Linked DNA regions of Callithrix jacchus. The main gene of each other region encodes a partner of the protein of the gene in region 4 in a complex. Links are inferred from orthologs where the notes say so. Each region holds a gene or a part of one and is shown on either strand. Other genes may lie near its edges.

Region 1 (3,500 bases), on a different chromosome or scaffold from region 4:
ATAGAAGAAAAACTGCATGTGACACTCCATGGTCTCTAGAACAATGGACCAAAAGAATCTTCCCAGTACTATTTTATGAATAAGCCAATTTGAGCTATTTGGACCATTTCAAAATTACTTTGAGATATTATTTTCAGTTACTCTCATTTTTCTGGAATTGGTTTTCATGCATTTGGCAACCTATTCAGTAAGATAGATTTAAAGCAGGAAAAGTTCTTAGGTATGTTTATAAGCTTTAAAAACATGAGGAATTTATATGTGTTATTACTTTTGGCAGTCTTGAAAGGTAAGTAACTTAGATAGCTAAAATGAAGATGTACAGACAGGATAGCTCTTTAAGTAGTTATTTTTTCCTAACAGAATATGGACTCCACTCTTCACTATATTCACAACGATTCAGACTTGAGCAACAATAGCAGTTTCAGCCCTGATGAGGAAAGGAGAACTAAAGTACAAGTAAGTGACCAAAAAAATGTATTCTTTTGTGTGTCTGTTCCTAATTCCTCTTTTAGAGCCCATTTCTGACCTAATTTGACCCTTCTTTATGATGAATGTTTTAAAAATTATGACTAGTATATCATATTTTCCATTGAAATAGTAGAGGAACATGTAAGCACAAATCTTCCCTTTCCTACCCCTGTGATCCCATTCTTCCTTCAGAGTGACCATGATCATGAACCCTGCTATCTTCCTTCATGTATCTTCATGGGCACATAAATGTACACATGTACCCCTTTTTATCATTCAAGACAACTGTGGTCATCCCATCCTACCTAGGTATGTCCTCATGTTCCCATTGCCAATAATTATAAAATATAGCTTGATTTCAGAGATGAAAATATTTTTAAAAAGGCTCAAAGCCATTTTAAAGTGCTGTCAGTAACAAGCTGCAAGGAAACTGTGCTCATGGAATCACTGGAATGTGATAGCTGTGCCTTGCCTTGCTCTTTTTTTTTCCTCTTCTAACAATGTGACCTGGTGATCTCTCCTGTAAGCACACCAGGACTCCCTCACCTTCACAGCAGCGCAGCACAGTGTTAACGCCATACCTGTTGTCTCCCTCGTAAGAAACCGTGAGAGATGCTACCTGTTGTAGTTTCACTTTGATGCTATAAGTAGTGCTACATTCACCATGACTGCCTATACTTGTTGTTTGCTTCTAGGACTTTATTATTATTTGAGATGGAGTCTCCCTCTGTTGCCCAGGCTGGAGTGCCGTGGTGCCGTCTCGGCTCACTGCACCTTCCACCTCCTGAATTCAAGCCATTCTCCTGCCTCAGCCTCCCAAGTACCTGGGACTACAGTCACAAGCCACCCTGCCCAGCTAATTTTTGGTATTTTTAGTAGAGATGGGATTTCGCCATTGGCCAGGCTGTCACGAACTCCTGACCTCAAGTGATCCGCCTGCCTTGGCTTCCCAAAGTGCTGTGATTACAGGTGTGAGCCACCACACCTGGCCTGGACTATATTATTATTGTTAGAAGTAACAATAATTTCCCAGGTCAAATGGTATATTTTGTTGTTATTTTTAGAGATGGGGTCTCAGCTCCCTCTGTCACCCAGTCTGGAGCACAGTGGCAGGATCATAGCTCACTGCAGCCTCGAACTCCTGGGCTCAAACAATCGATCCTTCTGCCTCAGCTCCCCAAGTAGCTGGGACTATAGATGCGCACTACCGTATCTAGCCAATTTTTATTTTATTTATTAAAAATGAAATATTCAAAACAGTGTTCTGAAACATGCTTCTTCCCCACTTACAGACATATTTTCAATATTTCAAATCATTATTTTAATGAGTTTATTTCCATTTTCATTTTGTGTATATGGGTAATTTGTTTATGTAGTTCAAAATTCAAGATACTTAAAAGGCATTCAGTGATGTTTCCTTCTCAGTTTTTCTTCTCCATTCATCCATTTTGCTTTTGAGATACAACCAGTTTTACCTTTATGTCCTTCCATAGCTATATTATACACACCTAGGCAAGATCGCAAATATGTTCTTCTTTTCTTCACATATATACAAATTGATTAGAGATGTGCTCTTCAATTTTGTATAAAAAATTGCTTAAATTTTCATCTAAAGAAGCCATGTTTTTAATTTTTGTTTTGAGGCAGAGTCTCGCTCTGTCACCCAGGTTGGAGTACAGTGGTACTATCATGGCTCACTGCAGCTTCTACCTCCCTGGGCTCAAGTCATCATCTCACCTCAGCCTCCTGAGTAGCTGGAATTAGAGGTGTGAGCCACCATGCCTGGCTAATTTTTTAATTTTTTAGTAGAGACAGGGTCTCACCATGTTGCCCAAGCTGGGCTCAAGTGATCCACCCACCTTGGCTTCTCAAAGTGCTGGAATTACAGGTATGAGCCACTGTGCCTGGCTGTTTTTTTTTTAATGAACATGTAAATTGTGCAGAGCACCTGTTATACTGCATTTGCTGGGTTACAACAAGCATTATCATCTCTGCCTACATTTAAAGGTGCTGGTGTTATTTTAATGTGTCTTTTCAATTTAGTAATTAATTCTAATTGTCCTTTGAGCTATTTTCTGTTTTAAGATGTTATCCATTGTTTTCCTAGAGTTACTTTTATTTGTTCATATATGTTTCCCTTAACATGGTTTTCGTATCTCTTAGTTTATTAGATACCAGAAAATTTGGCATTGGTTTTTCCCATTTGAGATGCTATGTTAAAATCTGTATATTTAAAAATAGTTTTGCTCAATTGATATCTAAACTGCTCAAAATGTATCTCAGCTCCTCAGTCACTGTGGTTTCTCTTTCTCCATTAGGATGTTGTACCTCAGGCTTTGTTAGATCAGTATTTATCTATGACTGACCCTTCTCGTGCACAGACGGTTGACACTGAAATTGCTAAGCACTGTGCATATAGTCTCCCTGGTGTGGCTCTGACACTCGGCAGACAGAATTGGCACTGTCTGAGAGAGACATATGAGACTCTGGCCTCAGACATGCAGGTGAGTAAAGCAGTTAAAGAATTAGCAGAACATGCATGTGGAAAGCACAGTGCTTTGCTTTTTGTAACCTAAAGAATTTCTGTTCATGTTCTAGCATGTACTTAATGCTATAGGAAATTATGTATGGAAGAGCTTAAGAGTAATAATGGCTTCTTCTCCGATAAAACATCAAATGGTGGATGATGCTGGTGCAGCGGAGGGGGGCGTGGGCGGGGATGCCGGAGGCCCCGGGCACCCTGGGGGCCCTGGGATGGGGAACCGTGGTGGCTTCCAGGGAGGTTTTGGCAGTGGCATCTGGGGCCGGGGTCGTGGCCACGGAGCTCGTGGACGCAAAGCTGAGGAAAAGGAGTGGATGCCTGTCACCAAGTTGGGCCGCCTGGTCAAAGACATGAAGATTAAATCTCTGGAGGAGCTATATCTCTTCTCTCTGCCCATCAAGGAATCTGAGATCATTGACTTTTTCCTGGGGGCCTCTCTCAAGGATGAGGTTTTGAAGATTATGCTGGTGCAGAAGCAGACCCATGCTGG
Region 2 (3,500 bases), on a different chromosome or scaffold from region 4:
AGATAAATGTATTATGACTTGGAAGATCTTTTAAGACTTTACCTCAGGTCTTCAAGTAAAATAATTACTTGAAATCTTAATTTATTAAGTATAGAAAGGAAGCCAATAAATGTAATGGGAGCTGTTTGGTAGCACACATTACATATGAAACAATATGTTTTAATCTTCGTGTCTGTTCCTGTTTAGAAAGTTTTTTATTTCTTAAGTAGTAATAGCTAGTGATGGGCAAAAAAAGGAAAAGTATGAATTAAAATAGAAAAGGCCATTTTACCTATAACTGCTTTCCTAGAGCTAGTAATAATTCTAGTTCATATTGACTGATTTGACATGTTTTCCATTCATTTAAGATACACGTGTAAACAAACAATATAGGCAATGTAGTCTGCTAAGTACAATAGTAGTCCTCTATACAGCATCTCGTGATTGATAATGGAGGAAGGAGTAGGGTTCTGGTTCCAGTTTCTTTTTGTTCTTTAATGAGGAGCTAGTTTTCCCTAGCTAATGGAGCCTCGCTGTTCTGGTCCAATTTTGATTCCTAATTTCCTTGGATAGTCCTGAGTTCTCCTGATCATTTTCTTTAGCTTCATATGGTTCTGTTTTGTTATGTGGTGATTTGTCACTTATGTGTTTTCTTGGTCTTCATACATGCAAAATGCCAGTTTTACTCATTAAGTATGAATAATTTCAAGTTGTCAAATCTTTGCTTCACTGCAATATGCTGTGTAAAATACTGGCTGCCAGTATGTCTGTTTTTCTTGATGACGGACACTTCTATCCAAAGTGCTGCTGTGAACATTTTACAAATGTTTTAGCAAGAAGTGATTGAGGTACTGTTTAGTGCAGGTTCCTGCCCACTTGTGTAGCCCCACGCACACATAATATCACACCCTCTTGTTAAGATTGATTTATTCCTTTGTAGTACCATAAACATCCTTATTTTCTCTACTTCTATACCCTCAACCTCAGCAGTTCAGAGAATGCCTTTTTTTAACCATTTGATATCCAGTTGGTAGAATATAGTATATTAGGGATACGTCTTGAAATTGGATCCTATTTGGGTAACAAACATGGTGAAGATCATATTAATGAGGTATGACCTGTTTGTACATTTTAGAAAAAGTAAAGAGGGAAGTAATAACCAAACTAATTTAGTAGGGCCACAAAAGATTTTTCTGGAGTATTCACAACAGTGAATGTGGAGCTGGTAATCTAGTGTGTGTGTATTTAGAGTGAGGCATGTCTTGGGCTGGAGTGGTATTGACTCTACTTCCACTTGCTGAGATAGTATGTAATTAAAATAAAATTTGGGTCAGGCATGGTGGCTCATGTCTGTAATCCCAGCACTTCAGGAGGGCCAGGCCAGTGGATTGCTTGAGGCAAGGAGTTCCAAGACCAGACTGGCCAACATGGCAAACTCCATCTCTGCTACAAAATTAGCTGGGTATAGTGGTCTATGCCTGTAGTCCCAGCTACTAAGGAGGCTGAGACAGGAGAATTGCTCGAACCTAGGAGGCAGAGGTTGCAGTAAGCTGAGATGGCACCAGTGTGCTCCACCCAGGTGACAGAGCAAGACTGTCTCAAAAAACAAAACAAAACAAAAACCAAGATCTTGATGAAAAACTAGTGGTGAGAAACTGACCAGGCAATCAGGAAGGGTATTGGGCTTGGGTAAATTTTAAAATCCGTGTCTCAATTATAAAATGAGGAAGTAATACAAAAAGTTTTAAATTTTACTTTTTAAATAATTGAGTTATCCTCTGTATCTTTAAAATACTAAAGTAGCTTTATCTTCATTTTCATTCTCATTTGAGAGATTGTAGAACCTACCTTTTAAAAGTTAAGGTTATAAAACTTATAAAAGTGAGGGGTCAACAAAGGATGGTGCATGCCTACTTTTGTAAATAATGTTTTATTGAAATACAGCCATACCCATTCATTTACAGGTGTCTGTGACTACTTTCATACTACTGGAGCATGGTTGAGTACTAATAGTAGAGACCACATGGCCCACAAAGCTCAAAATATTTACTATCTCACCTTTAAATAGGCTTAGAAAATAGAGTCTTGCCAAAATTGTATTCTTTACTAGTTTGGTTTTTCCTTCTCTTGAACAACAAAAGAGCATTGCCAATACTACTTTTCCTTTTTTCAGTTATTGTCATTTAAATTATAGTGTCCTGAAATTATATTTTAGAGCGGGACACGGTGGTTCACGCCTGTAATCCCAACACTTGGGGAGGCTGAGACAGGCAGATCACAAGGTCAGGAGTTTGAGACCAGCCTGACCAACATGGTGAAACCCCATCTCTACTAAAAATACAAAATTAGCCTGGCATGGTGGCACATGCCTGTAATTCCAGCTACTTAGGAGGCTGAGGCAGGAGAATCGCTTGTACCTGGGAGGCAGGCTGTGGTGAGCCAAGATCATGCCGTTGCACTCCAGCCTGGGCAACAAGAGTGAAACTCCAACTCAAAAAAATTTTTTTTGTATAATCTTAGCATTAACATAATTGCATATGTCCTTTGTTTCACAGGAAGATGAAAAATTCCTGACAGATTTGTTTGCACAACTAACAGATGAAGCAACAGATGAGGAAAAAAGACAGGAATTGGTAAGAAATTAGAAATTATGAAAGGCATAAAAATAAAACAACAAACGTTTTATATTGACAATCTTTTTTTTTAATTTCAGGTTAACTTTTTAAAAGAATTTTGTGCATTTTCCCAAACGCTACAGCCTCAAAACAGAGATGCTTTTTTCAAGACTTTGTCAAACATGGGCATACTACCAGCTTTAGAAGTCATCCTTGTAAGTTTGTGTCTCCTCATTTTTAGTTACCATTTTGTATCCTAAAATTAATATTTTAGTGTAACATGCAAATATTCTTTTATAGCCAATATTTAATATTAGCTGGGTAGTTCATTAACTTAAAGAACCTATAAAATTCCAGTATTAGACAGTTTTCACACAGTATTGAAAAAATACAGTTAAGGAATTTTCCATAATTTGATGATAATTTGTCAGCTTTGCAATTTATTAGCTGAAATGTTAAAATATAAAGGCAAACAGAAATAAATGATTTAGAAAGTATAATTTTATCCATACAATAAGAGTTTTATATGCAGACGAATTTTTTTGACTTTTCTTTTACATTGCAGTTTTTTTTGTTTGTTTGTTTGTTTTGAGATGGAGTTTCGCTCTTGTTACCCAGGCTGGAGTGCAATGGCACGATCTCGGCTCACCGCAACCTCCGCCTCCTGGGTTCAAGCAATTCTCCTGCCTCAGCCTCCCGAGTAGCTGGGACTACAGGCGCACACCACCATGCCCAGCTAATTTTTTGTATTTTTAGTAGAGATGGGGTTTCACCATGTTGACAAGGGTGGTCTTGATCTCTTGACCTTGTGATTCACCCGCCTCGGCCTCCCAAAGTGCTGGGATTACAGGCTTGAGCCACCGCGCCTGGCACATTGCAGTTTTTTTAATATGCTGTTTTGTTAGG
Region 3 (4,098 bases), on a different chromosome or scaffold from region 4:
AAAGAAAGAAAGAAAAAGCAACTAAGAAATGTTAAGGGGAACATTTTGGAATCACAGAAATCATGCTGACTGAGATACAGGCTTGGCATAGGAAAGGTGGACTCCAATTTGTTAACTTCTGAAGCTGTCAATGGCAAAGATTTCTCTGAAGGCACCGGAAGAGATTTGAATTGGGCTTCCTTCATCCATTGAACAAGTATTAAGTATTTCTATGTATTAACAAGTATTTCTAAATGCTTACCATGCCAGGCCTTATTCTAAGCACTGGGGCTTCAATATTGAAAAAGACAAAGTTGGATCCTCCAAGGATTGTGGTGTCGGATAAATAACAAAAATGTGTAACTTAAAAAAGTGTAACATAAAGTTACAAGGCCTAGTCCCAGCTCGACTTGTTTCCCTAGCTGAAATGGGGATGACCAGGCGTGGTGACTGAGGCCTGTAATCCAAGCACTTTGGGGGGCCGAAGAGGGAGGATCGCTTGAGCCCAGGAGTTCGAGATTGAAGTTAGCTATGATCGCCCCACTGGACTCCAGCCTGAGCAAGAGAGCAAGACACTATCTCTAATTTAGAAAAAAATAAAAGTTGTGGCCGGTCGCAGTGGTTCACGCGCCCATGAACCCAAAGTAATCCCAGCACTTTGGGAGGCCTAAGCGGAAGGATCACCTGAGGTCAAGAGGTTGAGACCAGCCTAACCAATGTGGAGAAACCCTGTCTCTACTAAAAATACAAAACTAGGCCGGGCATAGTGGCTCACGCCTGTAATCCAAGCACTTTGGAGGCCAAGGCGGGAGGATCACCTGAGGTCGGGAGTTCAGGACCAGCCTGACCAATATGGTGAAACCCCGTCTTAAAAAAAAAAAAGAAAACTAGCCAGGCGTGGTGGCACACATGCCTGTAATCCCAGCTACTCGGGAGGCTGAGGCAGGAGAATCGCTTGAACCCGGGAGGCGGAAGTTGCGGTGAACCTAGATCGCGCCATTGTACTCCAACCTGGGCAACAAGGGCCAAACTCCGTCTCAAAAAGAAAAAAGAAAGTTGTCTAAATTTAAACATTTTTATAAAATGAAATGGGAGGGGACTGGTCTAGGGTTTCTAACAGCCCAACATCACCTGCGGCTGAGCCCACAAACACTTCCGCTGGCCTCCAGCTGCCACCGGATTACTCCCGCTCCTTCCCGATTTCAGACTTGGGAAGTGGTGCCGGGGGCGCGAGGAGGGAGGGTGAGGAGCGTGTATGACGCCACATCCGGCGCGCGGCGGAACTGGCTTCCCTTTGCTTCCGCGGCGGGGCCGGAAGTAGAGGCGGCGGCGGCGGCGGCCCAAAGCGGAGGGAAGTCGGGAGGCAGGAAGCGCCCCATAGCCGGAACCGGAGTCGCAGCGGCGGTAATAATGCGAGACCCCTCTAGGCCACCGTCCTTAGCGCGAACCGTGGGATTCGACGGGAGTTAGTGGGGGTCCGGCCAGGCCGTGGGACGCTGGGGGGGTCCCGGGGCCGATGTGAAGGGAGGCGGGGGTGGGGGTGGGGCCGGGCTGGCCCTAGAATCCAGTTGTCCGCTCCTCGCCCCTCACGGACACTCTAATCCGCGGGCTTGTCTTGGCCTTTCCCAGGAGACCCCTGTGCGGTGCGGAGGGGGCGGTGGCCCCGACTCTGACCCGCGCCGGGGGGTGGGCCATGGCGGAGATCAGCGACCTGGACCGGCAGATCGAGCAGCTGCGTCGCTGCGAGCTCATCAAGGAGAGCGAAGTCAAGGCCCTGTGCGCTAAGGCCAGGTGAGCCCGTTGGCCCCACGGAAGGGAGGCCAAGCCGCCGCCCACGGGTTCTGGCCTGGGGCAAACCCAACTGAGAATTTTGGGCTTGCCCCTTCCTGGAAGCTTTCCCAGAGAGGAACGGGATGGGGCCACTGCGCTCGAGGAAGAGCTAGCCTGCTGGGGGAAGACAGCTGGATAAAGACACTTAAAGTATTAGAAGATGTGTTTCCAGTGGAGTAAGAGTGTTACGTAAAGTACTTAGGAAACCAAGGGAAACAAGCCCATCTGTCTGGGGGACAGAAGCTTCTGGGGGTGGGTGGCGAACTGTGAGACAGGCCTCGAATAAGGAGTTGGTAAAAGAGTCAGCAACAAAACAAAGGTTTAAGACAGGAAGGTTAAAGACGCTGTGATTTATAAAAGTCTGAATTCCAACAACCACCCATAAAGGTTGGCGTATTGTACTCATTTTACAGGTGAGGACTGTCATGTTCAAAGTTACCCACAAGTAAGGAGTGGAGTCTGAAGCCAGTTCTTAGTGTCCTGTCCTTTTTCAGGCCATAATGCAAGAAGGTGGATTTGGATCACTCACATTCAGGATGGGACCCTGAGAAATCGTAGCAAGTAAGCCAGGATAGAATTAAGCATGATATGGCCGGGCGTGGTGGCTCACGCCTATAATCCCAGCACTTTGGGAGGCCGAGGCAGGTGGATCACGAGGTCAAGAGATTGAGACCATCCTGGTCAACAAGATGAAACCCCGTCTCTACTAAAAATACAAACATTGGCTGGGCATGGTGGTGTGCACGCCTGTAGTCCCAGCTACTCGGGAGGCTGAGGCAGGAGAATTGCTTGAACCCAGGAGGCGGAGGTTGCAGTGAGCCGAGATCGTGCCATTGCACTCCAGTCTGGGTAACAACAGTGAAACTCCATCTCAAAAAAAAAAAAAAAAGAATTAAGCATGATAGGAAGGCCAGTTTAAAGTTCTGTGGGAAGTAGGATGACCTAAGGCTCTAGGTTTTGGAGTGTGAGATGGCTCTAGGTTTGAATCTGAACTCTGCCACTTACTAGTTGTGTTAGTGATCTTAAGGTGTCTTTACTTGCAAAGCAGAGTTAATAGTACTTAATAAGATGGTTGTGAAAATTCAGTGAGTTGCTGCTTAAGTTTAGCACAGTGTCTTGGTACAGCATACATGCTTGATAGTCACTAGGTGTTCTATTTCTCTTGGATGAGGGCAACGATGAGATGGGCTAAAGCCATCAGGGAAGGCTACTAAATAGAGGTAGACCTTGAAGGATGAAGATAATTTGGCTAGCTGACAGGCAGGACCAGTGAGGGAAGGGCATTCCAAGCAGGACAAGTGTAGCATTGGAGGCCCTGAGAGTGTGAGGAACAGTCAGGGGTTTAATTAATTACCTGCCTTCTCTGGGGAACTGTGTGATTGTGACTTCTACCAGGCTGGTGAATTGCGGCAGAAGAGCCCGCAGAATTACCCTATGTTTATTGAACTATACACCCACTATTGGCCTGGCCCTGTACTGGCGAAAAAACGTCTATTCGTCTCTTCCTCCCAGCAATCCTGAGAGGTTGGAATCATTTGCTCCATTTTACCGAATAGGAAACCATGACTCGTAGAGGCCTGGTGACTTGACTGAGGTCACCCACTGAGGACATGGCAGAGCTCAGTTCTGAATCTGTGGCCCCCAGGCTTTTTGCTCGGCCCCACCTCACAGACTCCCTGCAGCCAGACAGGGCCTCTGAGGGGATCGTGAGCAGGGTGGGCCTCTTTTTCACCCTGTCTGTGGCTTTTCTCTTTTGCCAGCTGAAGGAAACGTCCCTGACCAGACCTGCCCCACCGTGTTTTTAATTGTCCCCTCTCCCTCAGTCCTGATGGGCATTTTTAGGAACTTAAACCTGTTGTTGTCTGGCACTATTCTTTTCCTCTGAAGTCTTATCTCCTGCGCAGGCCTTGGATCAGTGTGGTGGCGATGGTAGATAATGCTTGGATAGCATGCTGGAGTTTGCAGAATAGGAGGAAGTTATATATTCAGTCTCCATGGCTCCTTGTAACAGCCTAAGGAGTAGGCATGACGGGGCTGAGTACTTAACCCCATTTCGTGGAAGAAGAAACAGCCTCTGAGTAGATAATGTCTTGTCCAACATCGTGCAGCTAGTTGGAGGGGAAGTTAGTTGTGCATGCAGGTTTTTGACTGTGCTCTGTGGTCACTGAGAGCCAGGCGGAGGCATTTAGATTTTCATATGGGGTGTGAGGCAGCAGAGAGCTGTGGAAGGCTAACGGGTGGAGAGTCCTGCCCAGTTGAAACTGAGTGGAGCTAGGAGGTACTAGGCCA
Region 4 (3,500 bases):
CATTTACAGTGACTCTTCGACATCTGAATCAGAAGTTTCCTCAGTGAGCCCTATGAAAAATAAACATCCAGATGAAGATACCGTGGAAGCCGAGGAGCGTGAGGTAAAAAGACTCAGGTTTGACAAAGAAGGTGAAGTCAGAGAAACAGCCAGTCAAACGACTTCCAGTGAAACTTCGTCAGTTGTGGTAGAAGAAACAGGAGCATCGTCTTCATCTCAGGATAAAGACAAAGAAAGTCATTGTACCCGGCAGCACTGTACAGAAGAGGATGAAGAAGAGGATGAAGAGGAGGAAGAAGGTATTTAGAGACCATCTGTAAAAGGGTGGAGTAAGGAGATCCTCAAATTCTTGTACTTCATTTTTTTTCGTGAAAGAATTTTACATAACGGAACTCCTTATAATGCTGATGTTGGGCTTTTCTCCCTCCTGTATGTAGTTGCTGCTGAATTTCAGGGGATATGATTTGAACTATAGAATATCAGAATTCATGAAACTTAACTGTGGAGGTATTTTGAAAATAAAATTTAACTACAACAACATTTGCTTATTTTTAGAGTCTTTTATGACATCAAGAGAAATGATCCCAGAAAGAAAAAATCAAGAAAAAGAATCTGATGATGCCTTAACTGTGAGTGAAGAGACTTCTGAGGAAAATAATCAGATGGAGAAATCTGAAGTGTCTCAAGCTGAGAAAGATTTACTGCATTCTGGAGTTAGTGAAAACGAAGGCCCTGTAAGTAGTGGTTCTTCTGACTGCCTTGAAACAGAAGAATTAGTAGGATCCAATTCCAGTAAAACTGGAGAGATTCTTTCAGAATCATCCATGGGAAATTACGATGAAGCCACAGAAGTCACCGATGAACCAATGGAACAAGACTAACTATTTAGAAACATTTAGATGCAGTATTTTACATACAGTTCTGGTTTTAACACTGTATAAAACTTTTATGTAATAAAGTGGACCTTTAGTTTTACAGGAGAAGCAGGTTGTAAAATAAAGTACTTTATGGATAATTCCTGAAAGAGTTGTATATGTAAGAACTGTGAATATCAGCTCCTCTGGGTCCTGCTTACCTTACCGCTGACTTTTTTTTTTTTTTTCTCTTTATCTTTCTTTGGTCTGGGCAAATCAGTGGTTTGTGTATAGATTTTTTTTTTTTTAATTTGGAATTAAAGTTTTTAAACTGGAAGGTAATTTTGAAAAGTTTTTTGAGATTATCACATTTAGTTTATGCATATGCAAGAAGCTTCTTGTCTCTCTGATAGCTCTGGCAGTTTTCATATTTTGGTCATAGTTTCAACATATTAACATGTGAATTATAGGGTTTCAACCTGGTTTCCAGATTTTATTATTTGGCTATGTACAATGGAACTTTAAGTCATATATACATAAATATATATATATATATATATTATTCTAAGGGGGGAAATGTTATATTTTTCTGTTTCTATAAGAGATGAGTACAGTGGATACTTTTTCTATTGGTAATGATTGAGTTCACCTCTTTCAGAAGACATTTTCTTTCTCTTCTGAGTAATTGAAATAAAATCTGGCCCTTGTGAAACCCTGGAAATCTTGAGTCTGTTGAAATACCAGGCTAAACACATTCCAAGAGATCTGTTCAAACTCAAATTGTTTTGTATACTTGTGAGGTGCCTGAGAAAAAGACTTCACTATTTATGAGAAAATATGCTTTATCTTGGAAATTGTGTTCAAATGTTAGCTTACTCTTTTGTAGAATGAATGCTTATGAAGCTGATATGAGACCATCTCAGAATAACCAAGCAGGTTCCTTGACCTTTTGCTTGCTTTTCAGAACATTGTGAATATTACACGTCTTTCTAAATTATTCTAGAGTATGCAAATGTCAATGGTATGAAACACCACTGTACTGGAAGAATTAATATATTACTTTAGTTATGTACCTGAGCTGAATGACTGAAGCTTTAGGGGTGCATAGAAACCACCATAATTTGTATGACATTTTGAAGTGAATTAAATATTTTTGAACATGCTTCTTCGACAGCCAGTGTTATATTTTTCAGACCAACACAAAGCACAATGATTACTCTAAATTCAATATTTTCAAATTTACATATTTAAAGTCATGCAAGCTGCAACCTCCCTGTCAAAATTACTGGCTGCCAAATTTATACCTGTTTCTTCAGCTGTACCTTTTGATATTTAGAGTTTTTAAATTTCTGTAAAGTAGATTTTGTAGAATGTAATGTGTTCACTGCCTTTGTGAAGCGGTATATAATTGTATAATTTCTGTGTGTAAACTGAATGCTTGGGCTTTCAATACAGTATTCATATAAAGCAATAAATATTAATGTTATGAAATATTTGAGTACATTTTTATCAAAATATGAAAGAATCCCCCTTTTTTTAAGTTTCAGATACGTGAACTACACAGATGAGCTTCTAAAAGTGATGCCAACAATTTCTGACACTGTATTATATGCTTTTGGGTGATTTGGGGGGCAACCACGAGTTTTGCGTTTTGACTACTTAAATTGTCATGACTATAAACACAAAAACGATTTGGATCTATTTATGTTTGTAGGATAATATACTACTGACTGACTTGACTGTCAGATTCACAGCAGCTAGATGATATATTTATGACTATGTCTAATAGTTCGAATAAAATCTTAATATGGATTAACTGTACCCAAGAGGGAGAAAAAATTAAACATTGTAAATTTTAAAAGATTTTCAAAAATGTTAAAATGAAACAAATTTAAGTTTAGAAATTTTGAAAGTTTCTTTAGAATATTTATGAAATTGTCAGTAAACCTACCTAAGATCCTGTGACCTTTGATATTTTTTAATTGTAGTGCCATGGACCATTTGTAAACGAATTGATGTACTTTTGTTGGTTATAAGTTGAAGATTTAGCATTATGACTTTGAGGTCTGTGGTTTTATTTGTAAACTTGCAATTGCTATATTTGCAAGAGCAAATGTATTTCTTTATTAAATAAAGTACAATAATGGTGAATGTACCAAAGTGACATCACTTAACTCTATGAGAGATCTGCATTTTAATCTATAGTTTAATAATTTTAATATTTATTAGATACTCATATGTTGATCATAGATCAAACTTGTTGCTGTTTATACAGATAATTGTAGAATGCTCATGGAATATCTTCTTTAGGGTAGGTGGAATACTTCTGTAGTTAAATTGGGAAACCTTGTTAAGCTGGTTTTAGATACTGATGGCCATTTGGAAGTAAATTTCCGCAAGTATGCATAGGTGCACTTAACACAGACTTTGCTTAATGAAAACGTCAGTTCTAATAGTAACTGATTCATTCATGAATTTTTAAAAGGCTGATTTTAGGCATATTTCTTAATATACATCAAGCAAAGTCCTGTTAAAAGATCTGAGTGAAGAATCAAGACCTCAGTGATTAGTTTTGTTTTTGACCTTGAGCAGATTGCTTACCTGTTCTCTAGACTATAACCCAACATGTAAAAAGAATTTCAAGAT
Region 5 (4,194 bases), on a different chromosome or scaffold from region 4:
GGGATTTTTTTTTCAAAGGATCATTCAGTGAATAACACGGGACTGGAAACACGATCTATAAACAAGAAAGGAGAACAAGAGACTTGCCAGTACCTGAAACTGGCGCTGAGCTAAAGAAACAAGACAACAAATACCCTAGGAGGTAAATAACATCAGCTTTCAAAATCTGATTCTGAAAAAAAGAGAAAGTGAAGACTAATTTGCCAAAAGGGAAAAAAATGTCGTGTAAACTAATGAAAAATTTTTACGTAAATATGCACAAAATGCTGTAGGAAATTTCTGTTTCTAAAGGATTTTCATCAATTCGTTAAACATCATTAATGTTCACTGTATTAGTTTTTAAGATGCTCAGTCTACAAGGCAATGTTTTAAATAGTTCAGAAAAATCTTGTAAATATTTGCAGTAACCATTTGCCTTAAGCAATTCTGTAGAGCCTGTGAGATGGTTTGAAATTTAAACGACAGTAGGCCCAACTAAGTTTCTAAAACCCCTCAGACAAAATAATAAAGCTTGCATAGCAAAAGTAATACAAATAGGACATCCTGAACAGCAAAAGTAACTATCACATTTGTGGATTTTTTTCCATATAGTAGATCCCATATAATGTTCATACTCTACAATGAACTTAAAACTAATCACTGTGTACTCAAGTCTCATCTAAACTTACTGAATCTTACATGAGAAGAACCAATGCCAGAAAAGAACAAAAAAAGATGAGGTTCAACTCAAACCATCTGTTCTTCCTCCTCCAAGCAACATTCTATAAATTACGTATTTTATTTGGGTTCTCAAATTCGTAAGTCCACAGCCAAATATAATTTATAATACAGTTAAGTACTATGCACACAAAAGTACTTTGTTGAAGTGGCTAAGTAAATCTGAACATAACGGGAACATACATTTCAGAAAGCATTCATCGATGCTGCCACAGGGGGAAAAAAAAGAGCAATTTTACAGAATGATTAGGAAATACCTGAGCAGATAAACAGCCCTTTCAATGTCACTGAGGTCTTCATCAACTGTCAATCTTTCTATTTCTTCTGGTGTCTGTCAAGGGTAAAATACACATTATGCACCACAAACATTGGGTCAGTCTTGCCCCCCAACCTCCCAGTGAACCTCTATGAGGATAAAAGAATGAAAAAGTTTCACAATTAAGCATTAACAATGAAAAGTAATCAAGGAGCTGAGGATACCAGGCAACATCAATCACGGAGGTCTCTAATTGGGTGGGCGAGTTTGGGGAGGGGATTGTTTTTTTCTGTTTTTCTTCTTCTAGCTTCTAGACTGCAGCTTGAGAATCGCATCGTGGCTTCAGAACCTTGGCTGAAATCCATTTCATACGCATGTTATAAAACTAATAAATACACACACTTTTTATCTCTAATACCTCAAGGCTATTTCTCCAGCAGTTTCCAACCCACGAAATGCTAAAAGGGGGGATGGATGAAGACTGCAGACGAGTGGGCATGAAAAGGACAAGATCTGGAGTGGGGGAGGGAGGAAAATAAACTCTGGGGCTGGAAGAAAAACAGAGATTTGAGATTGCGGCAGGTGGGAATTAGACCAGCTAAAGCAGCTATTAAGCGATGGTCAGAAAAGGGGTCCGTAAATTAGGTTTGCCTGCGCTAAGGGCAGGAACCTCCCGGAGGAAGATGACTCTGCGGGGTGGGGAAGCCAGTGGGGGCGGGGGGAACAAGGTGAAGGTTGACTCCCTCAAGGGGGTTGGGGAGCAGGGTCCCAGCTAGAGTCCTGGAGGGGCTGGGAGGAAAGGATGCGCGGTGACTCAGGATGGCGGCAGAGGATCGCGAGGGCTTTGAAGACCGGAACCAGGACGACACTGAGAAAGGGTGCTAGCTGGGAGGCGAGGGGAGGCCGGGCTGCCTCGAGGGCAAGGGGACCGGAGCTTGATCTGACTCGGTGGGCTAAGGGTGAGGGGATGGGACACGGGTGGTGTCTCCGGGAGAGGTGGGGGGAGGAGTAGGAGCGGTGTGGACCAAGGGGTGGGCCTGGGGCCAGAACCCGGGCGTCGTCAGCGGACCAGGGGTCGGGGAGCCCAGGAGAGGACCGGGGAGAAGTGGGCTGCGGCCTCGAGAGGCAGCTCCCGCGGGGGGGGCGGAAGGAAGGAAGGGGGCCCGCGACTGAGGACGCTGGGGCTGCCCCGAGGGCTGGGGCTCGGCCGTTCCTGGGGGTGGGACGGGGGGATTCGGACGCCTCAGGAGGGGCAAGGGCCGCGGGGCTGGCGCCCGGTCAGGGCTGCTACAGGGACCCGTCTCTTGGGGATGGGGGTCCAGACTGAGAGGACCGAGTCCGCTCTGAGGAAGGGTCCGGGAGGAGCTGGCTTAGGGCGACAGGGGCTGGAGGAGGACAGAGGGGCCGGTCTGACTGAGAGGGTCCCGGCCGCCCGGAGAAGGGGAGGGTGGCGGGGTGGGGCGAAGGCCGGCGCGGGGCCGCGCGAGGCAGGCGGCCGGACGCCCTGAGGGCAGGTCTTCTCCCCGGGGCGCACCTTGAGGCTCCGGCGGACCGGCCTCTCGATGATGGTGAGCTCCTGCAGGTCCTCCATGTAGCCGAACAGGCAGTTCTGACTGAAATCCATCGCGGCGGCCGGCGGCGGCGGATGCATGGACCGCCGGGCACCTTCGCCACCAGGGCCGGAGCGGCCCCGGGATGCCGGACGCGCTCAGCCCAGCGGCCGCCCACCAGCAGGACTTTCTCCCGCTTTCGGCCGCCGGAGCAGAACGTGAGGCTGGCGGGTGGCTGGAGCACGAGCGCAGCCCGGCGAGGGGGCGGGGCGGGCCCGGCGAGGGGGCGGGGCAAGGCGCGCGGGCGCGCTGCGGGGGCGGGGCCAGGGGCGGGTGCCCGCCACCTTGCCCGCCTCGGCCCCGCCCCCTCCCGGGCGCCGCGCACACGCGGCCGGACGCAACTGCCGAGCAGCTACGCGGCAGCTCCGCCACCCCTCTGCGCCCGCTCCCCGCCGCCCTCCTTAACCCCCCGTCCGCCCGCAACTGAGGGCGCCCCACCCCGCGGCGCGTGCGCAGAGCCTTTTGCCTCCCGCAGCCGGCAGAGGCGGGCTGGGGGCGGGGAGGCTGAGCCAATGAGAGCGGAAGCCGAGGAGAGGAAGCTGGCGGGGCTGCGGCTGCACCTACTGACTTAACTGTCCAGTTATTCCCAGACCGCCCACCCTAGCTGGCGGGGCAGCGGACCCAGAGACCGCCCCCGGCACAGCTCCAACCCTGGAGGAGGGCTGAGTGCCGCAAATAAGCAATTAGGACGTGAGGTGCCCGGCAGACGGGGGGTGACTAGCTTTTGGGCAAGGGCAGCAATCGGAAAAGGCCTCCTGGAGAAGAGTCATTTAAACTGAATCTTAGAGACCGATAAGGCTTTCCTAAGAGAAATAATTAGAGCAAGCCCGTCTGGGGTTGAAGCCTGGGTGTGTTTGGTTGGGTTTGAGAAGTGCCGTCAAAGTAGAGCTCCGGGCTCAGGCATCCAGGGCTTGGCGAGGTGGGTGGAAGAGGAAGAGGACCTAGGTCCTCGGTGGGGGAAAGCCCTGCTCTGGACAGCCACGTTGAGTCCCTTGCACTTAGTTCTGTTAACAATGGGAAGCGATGGAAGGGGGATTGGGGCGATTGTTTTGGACCTGGGGAACAAGTTATGTTGGTACCCTTCGGCTCGTCAGTCAGCAAGGCCCCTTTTTTGTTTTTATTTTCCACTTGTTCCTCCACACCTTTCTTCTTCCCACCATATGCGCCCTCTTCTGAATTAAGGTATGTCCCAGTTCATGCACTGTATACAGCCTCAAAAGATACATGGTTTGTGTCTGTTTTTAACATACATGAATGGCGTTGTGATGAGAACTCATTCTGTTCCTTGTTTTTTCTCTTAGAAGATCTATTCATGTGACACTATACAACGAGTTCATTAATTATGACCAATAATAATATTTGATTTCTGTGTCTAACATATTCTACTAACCATTTCCTCAATAACGGACAGTGAGGTCGCCAGCAGTTCCTTGCTACACAGACCACGTTGAAATGGTTGTTAGACGTGTCCCTTACAGAACATAAGAAATCGAGTCGCTGGGTCATGAGGTCCACAGCGCTTGGCTTCACTCTGTCATGTTTCCCTCCAGATGGCTTTGCATTGACACCCACACCAATGGCACATGAAGGTGGGAAGATACCCGTTTCCCA
Region 6 (3,500 bases), on a different chromosome or scaffold from region 4:
ACATTTGAACCTGTTTTGGAAGAATAAAAATTTTTAGAAAGCAAAAGAACCAGTTAAGCCCATGTGATAGCAACTTAACTACTTAAAATTTGGAACCCCAGATTTCACCATCTCTATGCAAATTTGAAAAACCACTGAATCACTTTATCAAGTCACTAGATGAAGAGACAACATTTAAATCAATTTTTAACATTTTAAAAGTTTATAATTTGGAAAACAATGTCTTTGGAATTTGCCACTTTTTTTTACACAATTAGGCATACAAACTTGTAATGATTTAAAAACAATGTACATATTATCTAAAGATGAGGAAATCTTATAAAGAAAAATATTCCTCCATATTGAGAGAATGACTATTAATATTCCGGAGTGTCTAATCCTTAAGTATTAAGGAGTTAATCCTTAAATCTTTTAACATGTCTTATGCAATTGAGTTCAGTATATTTAAATTTTTCCTTTGTGATAAAAACCACATAAAACTTACTATTTAAAAATTTATCATTTTTAAGTATACAGTTCAGTAGTGTTAAGTATATTCACAATGTTGTGTATTAAAGAAATTAACACATAGAGGTCAAGGGCCATAAATGGTATTCCTAACATTTTACTAAGATTTTAACAATTACAATTTTGTATTTTGCCACAAATAAATTGCTACAAGAATACCACTGCTACTTAAATACCAACTAGACAAATACTTAAAATACTTGTTCCTCAAAATTTTATTAAAAAGCTACCTAAAACTGACTAGGCCAAAACATTTTATCTCAGAATAATTTCTTACATTAGTTGTGGCCAGCATGTTCTCTGGATCAATTAAAGTACGAAGAAGTCCCATTAACTGAACAGCGCCTCCTAGCTCAGGATCAGTATCACAGATCATTTGTTCAATTACCACATTAATAAGAAGAATATCCTGGTAACAAAACAAAACAAAACAAAACAAAACAAAATATGTTTCCATTAGTCCTGGTTTAGATCTAAGACAAAACACTAACTGAAAGAGCAAAATGAGAATCATATTGAGAAAAAGCAAAGAATGGGAAAGCTTATTTAAACTTTTATTTCTAATGCTTTTGAAAGTTCTAGAAACATACTACATACTAGAGTGAAAAAAAACCCACTCCAAAAAAAAAAAAAAAGAAGAAAAAAACAAAAACAGAGAATGCTGCAGCTTATAGAAAAGGAAAAACAAAATTCTTTAGCATTAATTCTTTTTCAGTGGAGATTCTAACAGTTTCTCATTTTGGGTCTCAGACTTTGGCATAAATTTAGAGGTTGACTAAACAAGCAAGATCATGGGAACATAAGACATAAATTATGTCAGCCTCTAATTAGAAAATCCTTCCAAGCCAAAAAAAAAAAAAAAAATGACCAAAAATAACCCAGTACACAACTCTTCATGCAAGTGAACACCATGTTATATAACGATCTAATATTAAATAGATACGTTGTTACATTAGTAACATGCTCTTGTGTTTTATTTATTTATTTATTTAATTTGCTTATTGAGAGGGAGTCTCATTCTGTTGCCCAGGCTGGAGTGCAGCAGTGCAATCTGGGCTCACTGCAACCTCACTGCAAATGAGTCTCCTGCCTCAGCCTCTAGAGTAGCTGGGATTACAGGCGTAAGCCACCATGCCTGGCTAATTTTCATATTTTTAGTAGAGACTGTCCTGATTCTAAGCTGGCATCCCTATTTTCTGATTAGAAAAGATAAAGAAAATCGTTTGTTTCATTGATTCTAAAACAGATTTCTTAAAAATTTTAACCTCTTAAAATTAAGATACATTTTGTAATTGATGGCATTTGATAGTCACTATCAGTGAAGTGGTAATCATGACAAAATTACATAACAATCTACTGACAATGTCTGGTAAGATCAAGAAAATATTAGCATCTGCAAATCTTAGGTTTGATAGATACAGTAAATAAGAGGAGAAAAGAAGAAATGGCAAGAGCAAGAATATTTGAATTGGTAGAGTAAAAATAATTGGTGGATATTGTAAAAACATTTGCAGTTTGCTTAATACAAACACAAGAATTTAATAAACAGTCCATTAATTGGCTGGGTGCGGTGGCTCACGCCTGTAATCTCAACACTTTGGGAGGCGAAGGCAGACGGATCACCTGAGGTCTGGAGTTCAAGATCAGCCTGGCCAACATGGCAAAACCTTGTTTCTACTAAAATACAAAAAAATTAGCTAGGTGCGGTAGCTGACACCTGTAATCCCAGCAGCTTGGAAGGCTGAGGCAGGGAGAACTGCTTGAACCCAGGAGGCGGAGGTTGCAGTGAGCCGAGATCACATCACTGCACTCCAGCCTTCTGAGAGCGGGACTCTGTCTCAAAAAAAAAAAGCTACTGACAAAATTTGCTTTACAGCAACTTAAATGAATGCTTCTAAGTACATGTGTGTGTATGTAAGAAATAGAGTTGGCCCTCTGTATCTGTAGGTTCTATATTCACGGATTAAACCAAGTGACAATGAAAAATACTTGGGAAAGGAAAAAAAAAAGAGAATGGTTGTATTCATACTGAAACATGTACAGACTTTTTTCTTTTATTATTCTTATTCTCTAAATAGTATTCTCTAAACAATACAGTATAACAACTATTTATAGCATTTGCATTATATCTGTATTATAATGTAAAATAAAAAGGAAGATTTGCATAGGTTATATGCAAATTCTATGCCATTTTATATAAGGCACTTGAGCATAATTGGAATTTGGTAACCTTATGTCCCAGTGGGAGGGGAAGGTGGTTTCCTGGAACCCACCCCTCACAGAAACTGAGGGATGAGTATATATAGCATATACATACACACACACACACACACACACACACACACACACACATCAATACTTCTTTCAACTCATTCTGATATATTTGAAGAGTGAAATGTAAGTAGCTCCTCAAATTCTACAGAACATAATGCTCAAACTTCTTAAGTCTGTGTAATAACAAACAGCCTGGACAGAGAAAACGAAAGCTCAATCTCTTTTGATTTTTTTGAGTGGGGTCTTGCTATGTTGCCCATGCTGGTTTTGAACTCCTGGGCTCAAGAGATCCTCCCACCTCATCCTGAAAAGTAGCTGGGATTACAGGCATGCACCACCACCACATCTGCACATTCATTTTTAAAAGTTAGGGGGACCAGCACCACAACCCGTACATTCATTTTTAAAAGTTGGGGAGATTTCTTGATGTGACATACTAAAGGAAATATTACTTCAATGCCATACCTGCCACAAAGAAGTAACTAGAACTAATTGTGAGGAAACAACAGACCAACCAAAGTTGTTGGATAATGGACCAGAAACTTTTTGTTTTTGTCTTGGTTAAAATGAACATTACTGGGACAAAGAATAAAATATGAATGAGTACTGTAGTCAGATGTTAGTATTACAAAAATCTTAGTATCATGATTTTGATAATTATACTGTGATAATGTAAGAGTTTTTAGCTGGTGGAAACTGAAGTAACTAGGGGTAAAGGG

What was found.
Region 1: PPP4R2 (region 4) and PPP4R1 share a complex: the UniProt entries of both Homo sapiens proteins name them as parts of the PP4 complex. The link is inferred for Callithrix jacchus from reciprocal best matches to the Homo sapiens genes PPP4R2 and PPP4R1.
Region 2: PPP4R2 (region 4) and PPP4R3A share a complex: the UniProt entries of both Homo sapiens proteins name them as parts of the PP4 complex. The link is inferred for Callithrix jacchus from reciprocal best matches to the Homo sapiens genes PPP4R2 and PPP4R3A.
Region 3: PPP4R2 (region 4) and PPP4C share a complex: the UniProt entries of both Homo sapiens proteins name them as parts of the PP4 complex. The link is inferred for Callithrix jacchus from reciprocal best matches to the Homo sapiens genes PPP4R2 and PPP4C.
Region 5: PPP4R2 (region 4) and PPP4R4 share a complex: the UniProt entries of both Homo sapiens proteins name them as parts of the PP4 complex. The link is inferred for Callithrix jacchus from reciprocal best matches to the Homo sapiens genes PPP4R2 and PPP4R4.
Region 6: PPP4R2 (region 4) and PPP4R3B share a complex: the UniProt entries of both Homo sapiens proteins name them as parts of the PP4 complex. The link is inferred for Callithrix jacchus from reciprocal best matches to the Homo sapiens genes PPP4R2 and PPP4R3B.

What each region holds. Positions count from the first base shown.
Region 1 is NC_133514.1:53,379,232-53,382,731, forward strand, and holds part of PPP4R1 (serine/threonine-protein phosphatase 4 regulatory subunit 1), read left to right. Parts: intron 1-360; coding exon 361-456; intron 457-2,786; coding exon 2,787-2,972; exon of another isoform or gene 2,973-3,500. UniProt on the Homo sapiens protein: Regulatory subunit of serine/threonine-protein phosphatase 4. May play a role in regulation of cell division in renal glomeruli. The PPP4C-PPP4R1 PP4 complex may play a role in dephosphorylation and regulation of HDAC3.
Region 2 is NC_133509.1:126,317,256-126,320,755, reverse strand, and holds part of PPP4R3A (serine/threonine-protein phosphatase 4 regulatory subunit 3A), read left to right. Parts: intron 1-2,534; coding exon 2,535-2,612; intron 2,613-2,692; coding exon 2,693-2,809; intron 2,810-3,500. UniProt on the Homo sapiens protein: Regulatory subunit of serine/threonine-protein phosphatase 4. May regulate the activity of PPP4C at centrosomal microtubule organizing centers.
Region 3 is NC_133513.1:29,443,165-29,447,262, reverse strand, and holds the start of PPP4C (serine/threonine-protein phosphatase 4 catalytic subunit), read left to right. Parts: upstream 1-1,298; 5' UTR 1,299-1,383; intron 1,384-1,608; 5' UTR 1,609-1,672; coding exon 1,673-1,770; intron 1,771-4,098. UniProt on the Homo sapiens protein: Protein phosphatase that is involved in many processes such as microtubule organization at centrosomes, maturation of spliceosomal snRNPs, apoptosis, DNA repair, tumor necrosis factor (TNF)-alpha signaling, activation of c-Jun N-terminal kinase MAPK8, regulation of histone acetylation, DNA damage checkpoint signaling, NF-kappa-B activation and cell migration.
Region 4 is NC_133516.1:54,865,091-54,868,590, forward strand, and holds part of PPP4R2 (serine/threonine-protein phosphatase 4 regulatory subunit 2), read left to right. Parts: intron 1-9; coding exon 10-299; intron 300-555; coding exon 556-881; 3' UTR 882-3,500. UniProt on the Homo sapiens protein: Regulatory subunit of serine/threonine-protein phosphatase 4 (PP4). May regulate the activity of PPP4C at centrosomal microtubule organizing centers.
Region 5 is NC_133509.1:128,995,894-129,000,087, reverse strand, and holds the start of PPP4R4 (serine/threonine-protein phosphatase 4 regulatory subunit 4), read right to left. Parts: upstream 2,801-4,194; 5' UTR 2,625-2,800; coding exon 2,508-2,624; intron 1,049-2,507; coding exon 975-1,048; intron 1-974. UniProt on the Homo sapiens protein: Putative regulatory subunit of serine/threonine-protein phosphatase 4.
Region 6 is NC_133515.1:58,603,867-58,607,366, reverse strand, and holds part of PPP4R3B (serine/threonine-protein phosphatase 4 regulatory subunit 3B), read right to left. Parts: intron 917-3,500; coding exon 785-916; intron 1-784. UniProt on the Homo sapiens protein: Regulatory subunit of serine/threonine-protein phosphatase 4 (PP4). May regulate the activity of PPP4C at centrosomal microtubule organizing centers.